3 linked regions of the Nothobranchius furzeri genome follow. The protein of the gene in region 3 binds, or shares a complex with, the protein of the main gene of each other region. Links are inferred from orthologs where the notes say so. Each region holds a gene or a part of one and is shown on either strand. Other genes may lie near its edges.

The links.
Region 1: sart1 (region 3) and lsm8 share a complex: the UniProt entries of both Homo sapiens proteins name them as parts of the U4/U6-U5 tri-snRNP complex. The link is inferred for Nothobranchius furzeri from reciprocal best matches to the Homo sapiens genes SART1 and LSM8.
Region 2: sart1 (region 3) and lsm7 share a complex: the UniProt entries of both Homo sapiens proteins name them as parts of the U4/U6-U5 tri-snRNP complex. The link is inferred for Nothobranchius furzeri from reciprocal best matches to the Homo sapiens genes SART1 and LSM7.

The regions. Positions count from the first base shown.
Region 1 is NC_091741.1:34,218,781-34,224,686, reverse strand, and holds lsm8 (LSM8 homolog, U6 small nuclear RNA associated), read left to right. Parts: upstream 1-2,436; 5' UTR 2,437-3,061; coding exon 3,062-3,092; intron 3,093-3,559; coding exon 3,560-3,600; intron 3,601-4,069; coding exon 4,070-4,197; intron 4,198-4,320; coding exon 4,321-4,411; 3' UTR 4,412-4,632; downstream 4,633-5,906. UniProt on the Homo sapiens protein: Plays a role in pre-mRNA splicing as component of the U4/U6-U5 tri-snRNP complex that is involved in spliceosome assembly, and as component of the precatalytic spliceosome (spliceosome B complex).
Region 2 is NC_091748.1:58,319,637-58,325,495, reverse strand, and holds lsm7 (U6 snRNA-associated Sm-like protein LSm7), read left to right. Parts: upstream 1-2,327; 5' UTR 2,328-2,431; coding exon 2,432-2,437; intron 2,438-2,677; coding exon 2,678-2,768; intron 2,769-2,867; coding exon 2,868-2,939; intron 2,940-4,168; coding exon 4,169-4,311; 3' UTR 4,312-4,585; downstream 4,586-5,859. Other genes in the region: kelch-like protein 23, read right to left, coding at 105-1,008. UniProt on the Homo sapiens protein: Plays a role in pre-mRNA splicing as component of the U4/U6-U5 tri-snRNP complex that is involved in spliceosome assembly, and as component of the precatalytic spliceosome (spliceosome B complex).
Region 3 is NC_091744.1:19,554,418-19,560,496, forward strand, and holds sart1 (U4/U6.U5 tri-snRNP-associated protein 1), read left to right. Parts: upstream 1-1,485; 5' UTR 1,486-1,814; coding exon 1,815-4,127; 3' UTR 4,128-4,759; downstream 4,760-6,079. UniProt on the Homo sapiens protein: Plays a role in mRNA splicing as a component of the U4/U6-U5 tri-snRNP, one of the building blocks of the spliceosome. May also bind to DNA.

The DNA.
Region 1 (5,906 bases), on a different chromosome or scaffold from region 3:
CCGCTGGGTAAAACCGGGTGGAACACAGAGGTCTCCGAGAGCTCCCCAAGCCGGCAGCTGCACAGCAGACAGAAAACGCGATCAGACAGAGATGTGCTGGGCTGCGGGGAGGGAAGAACCGGGTGGAAAACATCGGTCTCCCGAGAGCTCCACAAGCCGATAGTGGGAACCCAGCTCCACCAACATGTTATATTTCAACCCATTTTCTAAAGTGCAGCATTATGTTAAATGCACTGGGTTTTACCCTATTACATTTACATTTCATGGTTAAACAGTACATGTTAAAATCTAAGCTCAGCTCAGCAGTGACCTAAAATACATAAATATAATTTTACTTACCGAAAATAATGAAGTGGAGACTCCTTGGACGCTCTATTAGTGCAATTAATGCCACAGCAAGTCATTTTGTCCAACAATTACACAAAAAATATCCAAAAAGAATACACACACACAGAGACTCAAAATCCCGGAGCAGTTTCCAGGCCAGACCGAGGCTCTACTGAGGCCTTTCCACGGAGCTAGCTCTGTGGTCACGTGGGTCAGATGCCAGAGGTGGAAAGAGTACTAAAATTTCCTACTTAATTACGAGTACCAATACTTTGATAATTTTTTACTCAATTACAAGTAAAAGTACTTGCCTAAATTTTTACTCAAGTAAAAGTAAAAGGTATCGTAAACAAAATGTACTCAAAGTAAAAGTTACTTAGTTACATTTTTGTCAGCGTAAGGATGGCTACATCTAAGTAGTGCTAAATCGCAACGGCAGTTCACAATTCGCTTGTGTGTGCGCACACACACACTCAAACACGCACGGCTTGAAGGAAGGATTTCTATCCAATCAGTGAGAACAGGACGTGCACATTGATTGGACGAGGTTTTTCTAGGATGGTAAGTTTCAATTGTGATTCAAATTATTCTTTATTTTGAGAAAAAATAATTTTTTTAGATGCCATCAGCATGTGAGGTATCTCAATGTCCTCATGACAAAACTCTAACATGAGACTGTGCTCTAACCTGTCACATAGCAAGCCTAATGCAGTCAAACATGTCAGATGGACCGTATGACAGCTGCTAACGTTGGCCCTGCCCTACTTTACCTCTACATTACAGTTCCTTTATCCATGTCCATCCTAGAGATCCTCTCTGACCTTCATGCTTATTTAGAGCAGCTGATTTTTAAAGCTAGCAGAGTTCATCCTTGGCAGTGGGTTCACTCACTCATTTAACCCTTCACCACTGAAATCAGTTTGTTCATTTCAATCCTCCTAAATAATCCTCCAATCATCCAACTGGAATCCTTAAGGGTCCCGTAACATCCATCCTGTCAGAACAGGCCTTGGGAGCCCAGGTGTTACTAGAACTAACGGTGTCTCCTCACCAGCGTGAGCCTCCAAACATGAACTTTAAATTCATGCATTTATCTCCTCTTGTAACACTTTAACATGTTTTAAAAGGCTTGTATCATGATAAGTTACACCTCCCAGACCAAAGATAAGATAAAACATTATCATAAACACTGCAGAGACGTCATTATTTATGAAATATATGTTATTTTCCTGAGCCGTTACTTCACCCAAGATATGAGATGCATGGATTTGATGAAACCACGCTGTCTCATGCAGTCCTATATGTGTAACACACACACACACACACACACACGCACGCCATGACTAATTTAACTACATTGAATTGCTTTAGTAATAATTTAATCTCTAATTCTGGAGTAAAATAAAGAAACAAGCTAAATCATCACATATCTGTGGCATCAAGGAGCAACTTCTGAGTTCAAACACAGGGATGGAGCACAATGTTTACACCTGAACAGTATCATGATGTTTTAACTCACAGAGGCCTGCAGCTCTTCTGTTTATGAGCAAAGCGCTGATAATCCGCTTGTTATGAGCACTAAACAGTATTTTGCCGCTGCCGTGCGGAGCGGTAGGGAAACACATTTCAAACACGGAACCGAGTCTCGCTACCGAACCGAGCAGAATTCTGATGATGTCACACTGGTGCGCGAAGGTGCAGGTTCCAACCACAGGAGAGGAGGGAGAGAGGTGATAAACAGCGAGTTGATCGACTGAACTGATGATGTCTTTGAGCAAAAGTGTACACCCCCACACACCCCCGGTTTAGATGCGGTCCTCATGCAGGTGTCTCTTTCCGTTCTGACGCTGCTTCACGTAATATTTTTAATTTATTAAGCCTATAATTTATTTTTACTCAGTAACGGATATGATTTAAAATGTAGCGAATTACAATTCTTTTTAAAAAACTTACTCAAGTAAAAGTACAGATTTTAAAAATGACTTAAAAAGTATAAATATACAAAAAAGCTACTCAATTACAGTAACGTGAGTAAATGTAATTCATTACTTTCCACCTCTGTCGGATGCTCGAGCATCAGGAAGCAGAAAAGGAAAGACAATAGAAAATGTTTAAAGGGAGGAAAACGTAGACCAAAATGAAAAATAAATTTAAAAAAGGCAAAAGCTCAGGAGCACTGACAGGAAGAAGAAAGCAGAGCAAATATTGGAGGCACTCAAAGGGAGAGAAAGACATGAATAAAGAGGAGGACTAATAAAAAGGGAAAATAACTCATGGCAGAAGAGGGGAGAGTTTTGTAAATCCAATTAAAAGTAAGATTGCCGAAATTTATTTTAAGGGGGCCCCATGTCTGTGCTCGCCTTGGGCCCCAAATTGCTAAATGCGCCACTGATAGGGCTATAGTGTGTTTCATTTCTGTACCCAATATTTTGTCTTTAGGGTTGTAGCTCTGACATCACCTACTCACACGTTTAAACAACTTTCCAGATCAATGTTTGATGATAACATTTGGAGGAATTTGAATAAAAAAAACGTCACCGCTCGACCCTCCGCGCCCCTTCCTGCGCGATGATTCGGCGTATGATTAGTCTTGACTTGTCTCCGGTGTTTTGGTGCGGTGCGGTTTGATGCTCTTTCCGTTTTATTTTTTTACACAGCGGCGCAAATAGACAACCGTTGGAGGGATTTACCGATTTTTCTGCTGGACAGATAGAGACCGAGTCCGGGACGAAGCATGTCCACCGCGCTGGAGAGCTACATCAACCGTATCTTGCTGCTAGCATGCTAACTGCATGCTTAAGAAGTGCTAGTTAGCTTAGCGCGCTAGCTTCGATGTTTATGTAATTTGTTGTTGTTTAGGTGGAGTTTAGAGACGGTAAAAGCTAAAGCGACAAAAAAACTACTCATTTTTATTTAGAACTGAATGAACATACCTGGAATAACTTTTACGTAGCAGTTCAATTTCAAATCAGTGTTTGCATAAAAAAAAATCACTGATAGAATTTTATATGATCAGATGGCGTCAAAACGTAGATATTAACGGTTCTGATCTGCGTTAGTTCGGTTTCACGGGTTGTGAATAAAATATATTTAGTTTGTTTCTGATTTAAGATGTCGGGTTATTTAACTGAAGCACACCCATCGTTGTTGTTCGGGTGAAAACGGAGAAGCTAGACGTAATTTACTGATGAGTTGTGCACAGATGATGTTTCCTTGACTCCAGCTGATCCAGGAACTGTTGCCATCGTCACCTCAGACGGGAGGATGATCGTGGTGAGTTCACGTTTTCAGCTCAGCTGGACAGCAGAGAAGATGATACGGTTCTGGTGTTTAGATGTTTGAGGCTCCAGCACAAGGATTTCCCCTCCACCTGAACCGAAGCCTCATTTAAACCGGTGTCGGTCACAGGGGATTTAGTTTTTCCCTCGACTGTAAATCCAGAAATCTAGTCCTGTTCCCATCACTACAGATGCTGACAGACACGTTTTTACTTTTATGGTCAGATTTTTACTGTTTTGGGGCATAAAACTGCAGATAACTGAAAATCATTTTGAAATAAAAGTTCAAGTGTAATCTGAACTATTAGTATTTTATTAGCCTGGTTGTTTTAAGTATGATTCATTGTAGCTCAACACCACCAGCGTGTTGATGAATAATAATATTAAGTTGCTTTGGAATCCTCTGACTGAAAGGTGCTGTACTTATTTATTTATATTTATTTATTTATCATTTGGGTGTTCAGGGCACTTTGAAGGGCTTTGATCAGACCATCAACCTGATCCTGGATGAGAGCCACGAGCGCGTGTTCAGCTCCAACCAGGGGGTGGAGCAGGTGGTGCTGGGCCTCTACATCGTTAGAGGAGACAACGTGTGAGTCACCTCGGTCAAACTAAAACTAAATGAGAAATGATGACCCCTAAGGACGTCCCGGTGCACGGGGAGCTCGGCTGCTCCTCGGACAGCTTCTAACCGTTTCTCGTGTTTCTGCTCCAGCGCCGTGATCGGGGAGATTGATGAGGAGACCGACTCCACGCTGGATTTAGGGAACATCAGAGCTGAGCCGCTCAACTCTGTTGTACACTGACCTTTGAACCCTGCTGTCTCCATGGCAACCCATCACAGTACAGCTCAGTTCTGTTGCTGTCGTGTTCTGGGAGGCGTGATGAGTGGTGAAGCTGCAGAACCTCGATTGTTCTGTTTCTGTTTGTATTTTTTATAAATAACATGTTGGATTTGTTTTCTACTTCATGTTTTTGTCAGTCTGAGATCATTTTAATAAAGTCTGATTTGTTAAGCTGTTTATAATGAAGTCCTCCGGTCTCTAAACATCCAGACTCTGGAGCAGAACAAGAAAACAACACATAAACAATGAAACTTTAATAAAATATGTGGAAAAACAAGATCGTTGCCAAAGAAACATTAAATAGCGCCAACTCTACGGCTTTGTTCAAACAGCTCATGGTCTCTATTTTAGTTCTGATATCTTTAGTCATGAATGAGTAATTATTTCTCCATCTGGAAGAAGAATGAGGATCTGTCCTGTTCTCATTTGTCTAGCATCGATTAATCGGGGCTGCCTATGGACAATCGTTAGCATTGACTGCCGATGCTCGCTTGGATTAGAGGCGATTGAATCCACTTGAGAATCGTTCGTGGAGCCGGGAGAGGAGGGGAGCGCTTTGTCAAGCAGGAATTTATCAGGAGAGCCCCGATGTTCAAGGTTCAAGGTTGTCTTTATTAATCCCCAAGGGGGAAATTGAATTGCCTTGGACAAGTAAACACAACATGCACATCCACACAATAAAACATTCACTGGTCCTAATAAAATATGAAAATATCAAATATACAATCATACGAAATGGTCATTGTAAAAACGCACTGCAGCTGGAATAAAAGAGTTCCTAAAACGTTCAGTGGAGCACCGGGGCGTTAACATTCGCCCACTGAAAGAGCTCCCGAGATCCTTAAAAATGTGGTGAAGGGGGTGATCCTCCAGAGTCATAACTGTCTTAAGTTTACGCTTAATCCTTTTGTCGATGATCATGTCAAATGAGTCCAAGCGTTGCCCAACCACTGAGCCAGATTTCTTGATCATTTTGTTGATCCTGTTTTTGTCCTCAGCAATGAGGCTCCTGCCCCAACACAACACAGCATAAAACAACACACTGGACATAATCCCCTGATAAAACACATTCAAGAGCCTCCTACTTATATCAAAGGATCTTAGCTTCCTAAGAAAAAACAATCTGGACTGGGCCTTTTTAACAACAGCATCACTGTTCCTTTTCCAGTTTAACTTATCGTCGAGGTACACCCCGAGATATTTATATGTCTCCACAGTTTCTACAGGTTGACCTTTGATGACCACTGGAGAGAATGTTCTAAACTTGCTTCCTGGATCCACCCCCTAGGTGAAGCCTACAACAGAAGGACAGTGTGAGCGTCCTGTCACAATGTCCCGATTGATCATGCGCCCTGGCTACTTGGCCAAGGGGATGTCCCTTTGGCTGACTGGTTAGAGCGTATAACTCTCACCCGGGAGTCTGCGGATCGAATTCCGCCTGGGCCCTCGTTTATCC
Region 2 (5,859 bases), on a different chromosome or scaffold from region 3:
TAAAGAGTGAGAACATGTACATGTATGCTGTTAGAACAATGTCCTGAGATGTCGTGCAGCAATTAAACACAATAACATCATAATATTCACCACACACTCATTACCCACTGCAGCCACAGAGTACTGAGTTAGGTTCTTCCTCTGCAGAGGTGCACAGCGCTCCCATCTGCCACTGTGAGGATGAAGCTGATACAGCGCCTGTTCCTCCTGATCATGAGGCCCACCCAGGATGTAGAGGCTCTCTCTGGCCCTGGTCCTCCTCATTGACCTTCCCACTGACCAGGATGGTGGGAAATACTCATTGACGTTCCTGATGAGCCTAGCTCTGGGATCAGAGCCTTTCATTGTGGTCAAGAGCTGAGAGACAAATGGTAAGGAGAGAGATTCAGGCCTCACCAGCTCAACGAGCTCCAGGAAATGTTCCTCTCGTTTAGGGTCAAAAGACACCCAACGCAGGGTGGCCTCCAGAGCCAGATCATCTTTAAAGATGGCCAGGTCATCACTAGCAAGGAGATCTGCTAAAAAGTCTTTGGAAAGGCATAAGAAATCATCTAGAGTTGAGAGAGCTGAGAAGTGTGTGAGTGCCACCTGCCGCGCTGCGGCATGTAGTTGGGAGAAACCAAAATGCCAGGCGTAGGCCATCATTCCCAAACAGTTGCTGAGGTGCAGCTCCCGCTCCAGAAATTTGCAGCACAGTAGCCTGGGTTTCTCCAGTTGTAAAAAGTCTGCAGTCTCTAGGATTCCCAGAACGTTTTCTCTGTCCAGTGCTAGGCTTTGGGTCACACTGTAGGCCATTAACACTTTAAAATATTGGAGAGCAACACCTTTGATCTCTACCTGCGTCTTGTTTCGCTCCACACCACAGCCAAAGAACAGAGCCCTGAAATAAGGACTCTGGAAGGCCAGACGTTGACGGTTGACATAAAAGCTCTCTCCTCCTACCCGTAGGGTGGTATCTGGGATTAAATCGGTCTCCGAGTCCTTCACATGTAAAACAGATTCATCCATGTCTGTTTTGTTGTAGCTCACGTAGAAGTCCCCTCTGCAGGCGGTGTCATTGCAAACAGCCTCACCAAAATATCTTGACCTACTTGTGGTTTGCAACCCACCAACTGGTACACAGTCAGGGTTTATTAATAGTAGTCATGTGTGGGTCATGACCAAGCTAATTCAGTGTGCTGGCTTGTTCATGTCAATGACTGGAGCAAGCTCCATGCTGAGAGCCTTTATTGGTTATTGATTTTTTTCCCAATAACAATACTGAAACTCAAAAAATTAGAATATGGTGCAAAAGTTCACTTATTTCAATAATCCATCTTAGACTGAGAGACCATCTAAAGGCTCGGGAACCCTTTGCAGATGTTTTTGATTAATTAGCTGGTTAGAGTGCGACACTTTGAGTCTAGAGTATTGAACCTTCTCGCACGTTCTGTTTGTCTGAGATATTTAGTTTTAGATGTTTTCGTAAGCTGTAAGCCATAATCATCACACTTATAACAAATAAATGATGGAAATATCTGGTTTTGCATAGAATGAGTTTATCTCATGAATTTGTTTCACCTTTTAGGTTTTTATACTGAAATCAATAAACTTTTGAACCATGTTCAAATTTTTTGAGTTTCATCTGTATACATTTTATTTTAAAAAGGGTTTCATTGTGGGGCAGTTGGAAGCACTGGTGACTCACAGGAACAATGTCATAGGTTTAAACCTTGGCTACGGCCTTTCATTCTCTCCATGCATGTGTGGGTTTGCTCTGGGTACATGCTCCTCCAGCAGACCAAAAACATACAAGCTGATCGGCAACCCCAACTGTCTTTAGTTGTGAACTCAGTATTAGCATAGTTTTTAACACTGTTACATACTGTTTTGATTGTGAATTTAGCTAAATAATAAACGAAAAAGGCTGTTAGAGCGAGTTTCCCACTCGCTGATAACAAAAGTGTTATAGCGTTTTATTTAGAAAGAATTTACAGGCAGTTTTCTCTTCTCCATCTCCATCAACCAAAAGAAACAAAAATACAGATTATGATCCCCCCCCCCCCCCCCCCCCAGTTTCATTGCCATGAGACTAGAACGTTCCCTTCTAGCTTCTTAGAACCTGATTGTAGTTGCAGTTTATCCCCACTGGAGGGCGTAGATTTCTTCTGAGATTGTAGCCTGTAGCTATTAGCTAACGCACAATGCAGCTGAGAAAGATGAACGTTTTTCCCAGCCTGACAGCGTATTAAGACAATCACATGAGTGTGTATTTAACTCATTACGTTTTAGTAGAGATGGTAGTCCCGAGACTTTTACAAAAATCAATATTGTTTCATTTTACTTTTTATGGTCTACAGCTGGACCTCTCTGAACCCTCTGAACGCGTTATCTCATTGGATCACTATCATTTCCTAGGGTCTAAGATTTACTTCCGGGTCAGACAGTAAATATGGCGGTGAGTTCGTAATCCATGGCTTTCATTATATTGTGTTACTTTTTATCTTTTCACATCCACATTTGTATTGTTAAGATTTAGCTTTGTTTTCTGAACAAAAGTCGACTTGAACAACTTTTATTTTGCTGTGACGGTAGACGTTTTACTTAAATAACGTGGCTAGTAGTGAGCTAAGCTAAGGCTACGTTTTGTTTGTGATTAATTAGTGACTTAAGACAATGTAACCTGGCCTTTCTGCAGGATAAAGAAAAGAAAAAGAAGGAGAGCATCTTCGACTTGTCCAAGTATATCGACAAGACGATTCGGGTGAAGTTTCAAGGTGGACGAGAGGGTGGGTGGACCAAGCTGTTGCTAACCCTTTCATTTCGTGCAAGCAGTAAATGTCTAGATTTCCTTATGTGGAAGCCTAAAATTTGTGTTTTCTTCTCAGCAAGCGGCGTTTTGAAAGGATTTGATCCTCTGTTGAACCTGGTGCTGGACGGCACGATCGAATACATGCGTGGTAAGAAAACCAAAACTCAAATCCAGCCAGAAAACTGCTCCTCAGTCTGAGTCCATGTTTATATCGATGAAGGACTTTTCCTGAACACATTCCGAAGTTCCCCAACACACATAACTATAAAGTAATAATTCGCATTAATTTCGCCCCTACCGTCATCTTTAAAACGATCTACAGTTAGTGAAAATAAGCATGTTGATCAAAACATTATGTTCATGTTCAGAGCATGTTTAAGAGACATTTTTCTACTTCACTTTTTTGAGTTAATTTGTTTTTCAGTAAATTATCAGGAATACGTGTGTGTGTGCGTGCGTGCGTGCTAATCTTGTTTGACAATAAAAGCAACATAATTTTAGATTATCTTCAGTGGACGAACATTACATATAATTACATGTAGACAAAAACATGTTGCTGCTATGTTTAAAAGAAGAAAATTCACAGGCTCTAAATAATTCATTCTAAAACATCAAATAATCCGAGAGATTTTCTGGGCTTCAAATTGAAAAAAGGTTTCCAAATTTTCAAATCACGCCCTTGTATGTAAGATTAATTTTTCAGTTTCATAAAATTAAGAAAGTCTGTGTGTAAAAGCATCTGTGGAATTGTTTTCTTTTTGTACAAACAAACAGAAAACATTGTGTAGACACCTCTCTACTGGAACAGTGTGTTGTTTCCAGGTAAAGGTAAGTAGCTGGTTGTGTTTTTTGTGCTCTTACCCTGTAAGGTTACTCCACCTATCTCCTCTACCATCACTGTGGATTTGTTGAAAATGTGATGCTAGTTTGAACAAACACTGGAAAAATGCTCAAGTTTCTAATTCTCAGTTTAGTGTTTGGAGGGGAGGGTTGAGCTAATATTCAGAGGAGTCATGGAGGCCACTCGGGTGGAACAAAAACCAGAAACATGTGGGGGGAAATTAAATTGATTTAAAAATCCCCAAACAAAAGATGAGTGGCTTTTTTCAGTTTGAGGTTTGTTCTTTAGTGGTCGAAGCAGATTTTTAACAGTGATAACAAATCAAATGTTGTTGGTTTTTTATCGCTGTTACAAGTGGTCGTCTTGTGTGGACTTAACATCTTTGAAAAATACATCTGAACTGAAGATGGTCAAAACAAAAAAATCAAAGGTCTCACCATTCATGTTTTAGTTTTGAGTGCATTCCGGTAAAATGCTTGGTGGACACCCAGCTGCTTGACATTTCCAGTGTGAACGTTCTGTGGCTTTGTGTGCAGATCCAGACGACCAGCTGAAGCTGACAGAAGACACCCGACAGCTGGGGCTGGTGGTCTGCAGAGGAACCTCTGTGGTGCTGATCTGTCCTCAGGATGGCATGGAGGCCATTCCTAACCCATTCATCCAGCAGCAAGATGGATAACCCCCATGCTGCTGCGTGGCACACTTTTGATTAGACTTTTCTTTTTTAACATTACAGGACACTTGTCATTCAGACGACAAACATGTTTTAAGTTCATCACTGGTAAAATAAGGCTCCGTTGCACTTCAGTTTTATTTCCCTGCTAATTTTGCTCATTTTTGTGTTGTGAGGAGCTCCCAGTTCTGAAAGTGTTAAAACAAATTTCTTGTTATCTGAGTGAACTTTTTACTATTCTTTGTTTTTGATAAGAAAATAAAGTGGAAAAAAAGCTGAATCTGAATGTTTTTCTCCTTTGAACACAGAGGACGTGTTGGAAAGTTACACCAGATATGGTCTATTCGAAAGGGTGACAAGGATCTGAGTGGTTTTGTTGACCCGACAGACGTCCCCTACCTGCTGGTTGTGACTGACTCGATGGGTCTACAGACTACTGAACTCTGCAGTAAAAAAAAAGATGAGTGTGTTTAGGTTTAAAGGGAGTTTCTGTGTTTGAAGATAAACCGTTCAAGCTTGTCTGCACACTCACAAAGACACATATGTGGCATTAACAGCTTTTAAGTCAGTAATGCATTAAGCTGGGGTGGGGGTGTAAAGTAATGATATCTATGGATTGTTCCTTTTGAAAGAAAGGATCTTCAGTAGATTTTGGCGTTGGAGAAACGCAGAAACAAAATGCTGATGAGTTTTAAGTGAGATAACTGAAGCTGTTTTTTAAAATGGCAAAATTTTTACTTAACTGGATGTGAAACCTCCTAAAAGTAGGTTAGAATAGTGACTTATGGAAGTCTGAGAGAGAATTGATGGTTTGTCAGGTGTTTGAGCTTGGAGAGGAGTAAAAAGGCCAAATTCCAGGAAGCTTCGCCCCTCCCCTGCTGCTCAGTCACTGTGTCAATGGAGCACGTACAAGCAGGCTTTTAGACGGAGCAGGGCGCTCCACTAAGGAGCATGCTGCAGTCTTATCGCACCTCTTACTCAACTTGATAATGGTGGATTTGAGGGGATTCTACACTTTCCTGGAAACTATGGAGATTTTAAGGTGACAGGAGAGATGCCTGTGTACACCTGGGTGTGACGGAAGGGATCAAGACGGATGGAAGGAACTCAGGACTGGGATTTCTGAGGCTAAACAGGACCTCTTTGGGTAAACAGGAGTAATTTACCTGCTGGACACACACGGCACGCCCCTGCCTCAGGTGCAACAAATAGTGGATCCTTTGGCCCCGTTGCCTCATCCTCCATCTGACTTTCTGCTCCTATGTGCGCCGAGAATTGCGGGCGGTCTCCGGTGTCAACTTTCAGAGTAATGAGCAGGGACAAAGGTGAGTGAGGCTGCTTCAGTCACAGGATAAAGCCTGTATTGTTTATCGCTGCACGCTGATGCTCAGAAGGAAAGAAAATGTAACATCTTTCAGTAACAAAATGTGAAACTGGGTTTTAGCGACAGTTTGGTGCATTCAGAGACTCTTAATGTGACTGAAGACAAAATCGGTCTGCTCTAAAATAAAAGAGCAGACAAAGTGTCAGTCATGCTTTTGCACAAACTTAACT
Region 3 (6,079 bases):
CATGCCCAACTTCAAAGTGACATTAGCCATTTACCTTTGCTAACTGCCTGGACCCAAATGGCTAACAGAAGCAGCACGATGCTGTTACAAGCAAGCCGATTTGTCATTTATTACTTGGGCTCAATCCATCGTGGGGGGTTTCGTGCTAAAAGACATTTCAGCCATCCAGGTAACAATTTCTTCTATTCTTTCTTATCCTGGCATGATCTGACGATTCTTACTGAGGGAAACACGCAATTCACGTATCTATTATCCTAGGTGACATATTCAAAGGTTTTTTTAATACACAAAATAAAGAATAGTGGTAAACTCGTGTATAGATCTATTGAGAAACTCGCAACAAATGCAATTACAAATATTTTGAAAGATAATTAAAATATCTATTAAGAACTTGATGAAATAGCATTTGATTCAAACTTTATTTATTGAAATACAGCAAGGCAACAGCACTACCACTGTGCCAACATGCAGCCAAAGCATAACAGATTCAAGTAAAATTTAAAATGTAGTATGTATAAAAATGAGTGAAATTAACATGTGAACTGATATGATATCCATAATGTTACACCTACTCCTACCCTAGGATCCACCCATCCCTTCCTCTATTCCACTGCATCTCTTTGTGCACTTCCATCTATGTTGCACTCTGATTCATTTCTACACTATTTTCGCATACTCCTCTGTCGGAGCCTAGTGTTCTTTCCTCTAATCAGTTTATCGTTAGAATCAGATGCAAGTACTGTTACATCCTTGTTTATAGATCGTTTTGGACAAAAGCATCTGCCAAATACATTAGCACAATGCCCTTTTTGATATCTGGAGCTCAATACAGATAAATGCAAAAGCTGAAGTAGAAAAATGTAATTTGAAAAAATCCTTAATGCTGTTGTTGGTAGACAGAAACCATTGCTAGACATCTGACTTTTTCTCTTTGTCTGAGAAGAATTAATTTTGATGTATATCTGAAAGTGATAAACATCCCAGCCATTAAATGTTCAAATGACCGTTTGGAATCAAAAGCATTTTTAAATACTCTAAACCTGGGGGTTTCCAATTGAAATATCAATTACAGTATTAAAATGTGTTTTTACTGATCAGAATGCACTTCTAGATATTATTTCAGTTACGATAAGTAAGAAATACATTTTGATAATGGGAATTATTATAACTTTATCTAAAATTTTAAGTGAATGGAAATGTTTTGCTTCATTAAATGCTATCACGGCTTGCTAAATACAGCAGGTTGCAGGCTGCAACCTTTGCTAAGCTAACAAGCTAAAGTAAAGGAACTGCGCCAAAATAGAGGAGATAGTAAATCGCTGTGTTGCACTTCGTGTACTTTTTGTAAAGTATCAAACAATTTTCCTAAAACATTTAAAAGCGTTTGTTTGTCAGTTAATGTCCGGTTGTTAAAGCCCCAGCCAGCAGGGGGCGATATACAACCAGGGCGAGCAAAGTTTTTTCTACCACTTGACTTCCGGAAACGAATTCGTTGTCGTTGTATGTTCGTTTCGTCGAAGTAGCAAACTTAAAACGTGGTTGTTAGTATTTATGCTGGTGCGAGGTGCTACAAATAAACAAACCAACGAAACTCCACGTATTTTCCACCGATGCTGGATATCGAAAATATGATGCAGTTTTCCCCGAAATGAGTGAGTTTTGACGTGGCTAACCCTTTAGCTTTTGAAGCTAACTCGACCTAGTTGGGAGAAAAGTTCGCGACATTTACCACATCAATACAGCTGAAGAGACTGCGTACGCAGCTTGACTGTGACGGAACTACGACTCTGGAGTTGTAAACAGCGGACGAAATCATGGGTTCTTCAAAGAAACACAAGGAAAAGAGTCGCGATAAGGACGCAGAAGAGCGCCGTCGTGAACATAAGAAGCATCGGCACAAAGAACGAGAGAGAGACAGAGATGCCTCAGATCGGGATGGAACTCGAGAAAAACGAAAACGCTCCAGGTCCAGGGAAAGGAGCAGACGGGATAGTCGCAGCAAAGGGGAAAAAAGCAGTGGCGAGACTCGTATAAAGAGGGAGAAATTGGATCCTGGCTATGAGGAAGGCAGTGCAGAAATACAGCCTCAGAGTGCAAGTGGAGATGCTTCCCTCAGCGTCGAGGAAACGAACAAACTCCGAGCCAAGCTGGGTTTAAAGCCTCTGGAACTCAATGAGAACAAGAAAGAACTTGGAACCAAAGAGGAGCCACTGGTGGCTGAGACCATCAACCCTGTTCTCATCCAGCAGCAGAAAGAGATGAGGGAGAAGCTTGCAGCTATGAAAGAAAAACGTCTCCTCAATCAGAAACTGGGCAAAGTCAAAAACCTTGCAGATGATGATTGGCTCGATGACACAGCCGCTTGGATTGAAAGAAGCAGAAAGCTGGCACAAGAGAAAGAAATGGCAGAGAAAAGAGCCAAACTTCTGGAAGAGATGGATGAGGAGTTTGGTGTCAGCAATCTGGTTGAAGAGGAGTTTGCTCAAAGTAAATTGGATTCTTATTCTTCACGGGATCTCAAAGGCCTCAAAGTGCAGCACAAGGTTGATTCCTTCAAGGAGGGCCACACTGTCATTCTGACCCTGCAAGACAAAGGTGTCCTGGAAGAAGAGGAGGATGTGCTTGTGAACGTGGGACTGGTGGACAAGGAAAAAGCAGAAAAGAATGTGGAGTTGAAAAAGAAAAAGCCTGACTACAAGCCCTACGAAGAAGAGGAGAGTGTGGATGACATGGTCACCTTTAAGCCCCGCACTGTACTTTCAAAATACGATGAAGAAATTGAAGGTGAAAAGAAAAAGAGCTTTCGTTTGAGCACATGGGGATTTGCTGATGGGGAGCGAGAACGGGAGCTGCAGGCTATGAAAGAAACGCTGCAAAACCAGGCCCAGTCTTTGGAAATGCCTGCTCTTGCTATCGCTTCGGAGTATTACACGCCTCAGGAAATGGTTGGCTTTAAAAAGACAAAACGCCGTGTGAAGAAAATCAGGAAGAAGGAGAAGCAGACAATTGCAGATGAGCTCCTTGATGACACTCGCAGCTCTGACTTTGGCTCCCGAGCACGAGGTCGGGGCCGCAAACAGGACAACGAAGAGGAGAATACAGGCAAGGGCGAGCGTTGGCCACATGAAATCCCCCAAATGTCTGATGACATCAGGACGGCAGAAATGGAAATGAGTGATGAAGAAAACTTCACGCCTCCTGAGCCAGCTGTAATTGAGGAGGATGAGGCAGAGCAGGAGCTGCAGAAACAACTGGAGAAACAGAGGAAGCTGAGGCAGAAGCAGCTTCTCAAAGACTCCGGGGAGAAGGTGGCAGAGCAGATCAGACGGTTTGTTAAAGGCGGTGACGAAAATGATCCTGACAAGAGGAATAACATTGTCTTCAATGCCACCTCTGAGTTCTGCAGAACTCTGGGTGATATTCCAACGTATGGACTGTCTGGAAACAGGGAAGACCAGGAGGATATCATGGACTTTGAACAGGAAGAAGAGAAAGATGATGCTGGAGATTCAGACTCCGAAATGGATGAAAATATTGGGTGGAGCACAGTTAACCTGGATGAGGAGCAAAATCATGCTGAATTTTCCACAGCCTCTGCCACTATCCTGGATGAGGAACCCATCGTGAACTCTGGCCTTGCTGCTGCTTTACTGCTGTGCAAAAATAAAGGGCTGCTGGACACGCAAATGCAAAAGGTGGCTCGTGTCAAAGCAACAAAGGGGTCCCTGCCTAATGACAACTACTGCATCGAGGACAAGATGGGCTTTGATGATAAGTACAGTCGCCGGGAAGAATACAGAGGCTTCACGCAGGATTTCAAGGAAAAGGATGGATATAAACCCGACGTCAAAATTGAGTATGTGGATGAGTCTGGGCGCAGACTCACCCCAAAAGAGGCATTCAGGCAGCTTTCGCATCGTTTCCACGGCAAAGGTTCTGGAAAGATGAAAACTGAAAGGAGGATGAAAAAGCTGGAGGAGGAAGCGCTGCTGAAGAAGATGAGCAGCAGCGATACACCTCTGGGGACGGTGGCTTTGCTTCAAGAGAAACAGAAATCTCAGAAAACGCCGTACATCGTCCTCAGTGGCAGTGGGAAGAGCATGAATGCAAACACCATCACTAAATAAATATGTAGGGGAAAATGATTATTGTTGTAGCTCTTTTGAGATTATTGCTAGTTTATGGTCTTGCTTCAGTGTTGATATAACAATAGTATAAGAAAATCAGTACAGGTGTAAACTATTTCATTTGTCTTGTGAATTTCCTAAAAGAACAATAATTTAAACCACAAATTGTTTTTGAAACTTTTTTTTTCTGCTAAAATATGATTAATGGATTCAGTTATTATTGGAGGTGAATTTTTGAACAATATATGGGCAATTTTTACAAATCAGATAAAGGAAAAAAATTTCTGGTCACAAAACTAAAACAGGATAACTTGCATCATTGCACCTTTAAGCTCAAACAAGAACAACGTTAAAAAATGGGATGCAAGCATGTTTTTCAAAAGGTCATTAGAAATTTTAAATGCTGATCAGTTTCTGTTTTATGTCACCTGCTCTTTGTGATTAATTTTCTGCCTCAGATAATATACGAGTGAGAGTTGTTTCATATTTGACCTTAAACTGGGAACTGAAATCTTTGTAAAACCACCCTAGGTAAAACTGGAGAGCCTGGATCATTCACTGAAACAGCTGTTAGGATAATATCGTTTGATCTGTCTTTAAATTCTGAATAAATAAAGTGCATCTGTTGATGATTTAATGTCTAAACATAATTTTTAAAAGTTATACACTTATATTGTACATAAAATTTGCAATTCAAATATATATATATATATATATATGAATTGCAAATTCTATTGCACAACATGTCATAAAACACTTAAAATAACAAAGCTCAAAATTTAGGGAGTTCAAGACATTTCACTTTTTGTAGTTTGTCAATAGCTGTGGCTAATAACAGTATTGAAAATCATATATAGTATATTTTTTGTTATTTGATAATTATTGAAATAGCAGTAGTTGTAGTTCAGTAAATATTTAGGCCTGTTCAAGTTCCGGTTGTGTGTGCGCAGAAGGCTTTTGCAGCATACCACGTGGCTACAGCTCAGAAATCTTTTAAATGAACTAGTTTCTTTTTCCGTTCATAAACTAGTATTTCTTAAACATTTAATCGCTGTTTAACCAGCCTAACCTCCCTACTTAGCGACTGCAATTAGTTTTTGACGGCGACCGTGAGCGGAACCCTGTTCAGCAATTGGGAGTTGCGGCCGAGCCCAATTCCGATACACAACCTGTAGCAATTCGCTCAAAGCTAACCGCTAACGTAATCTAACGTCACGTCATGATCGCTGAGAGGTAAGTGATGTTATGTAGAGCTACGCAGCCGGTTTGTTGCCACAGTTATTCCACGAAGAAATTAAACGACACGAGACCGCACAGCTGAAATCTTTAGAGGCGATGTGTAAGCTCGTTTTCCAGCTTTCTGACACCGTGTAGCTCACAGGCAGCTTAGTGGCGGGTACGGAGAGTTTAAGTAGCTTTAATTTTGGGAGCCGGTGTTGTGCCATAAATCGATCACTGCCAAAAAATGATTAGCTTAGTTTTGTCCAGTTCGGAAGTTGTTTTAAGTGTTGCTATTTGTCTTAAACGTTCACAATGAGGATATATTAATCCTTTTTGCAATATTTGCGATTGAAAGATGGTTTGTGGTAAGAACTGGCTTTCTTTATGTTACAGCCTTGATGCTAAAAAAATAAATAAACAATGTAAAATGGCGCCCTGTATTGAATGTAAACGTTGTATAAATGTAAATGAACAATTCTCCAGCGATTTGATTTTTTCCCCTTCCTTTCTTTAGTGGCTAATCATTTTCTGGCAGCGAGTCGATTTATGGCACAACACCGGCCTCGGTTTTCTCGGTGTAACCTACATCTGCGGTGATCATTTGATACTTTTGTCTCGTTTTAGCAAAACAACCATTGATTTTGATCAACGTGAAAGGCTAACGGAATATTTAAATAATTAGAAACGCAAATTCTTTTCATGTGAAATGTATTTAGGTATCTGTTTAAATA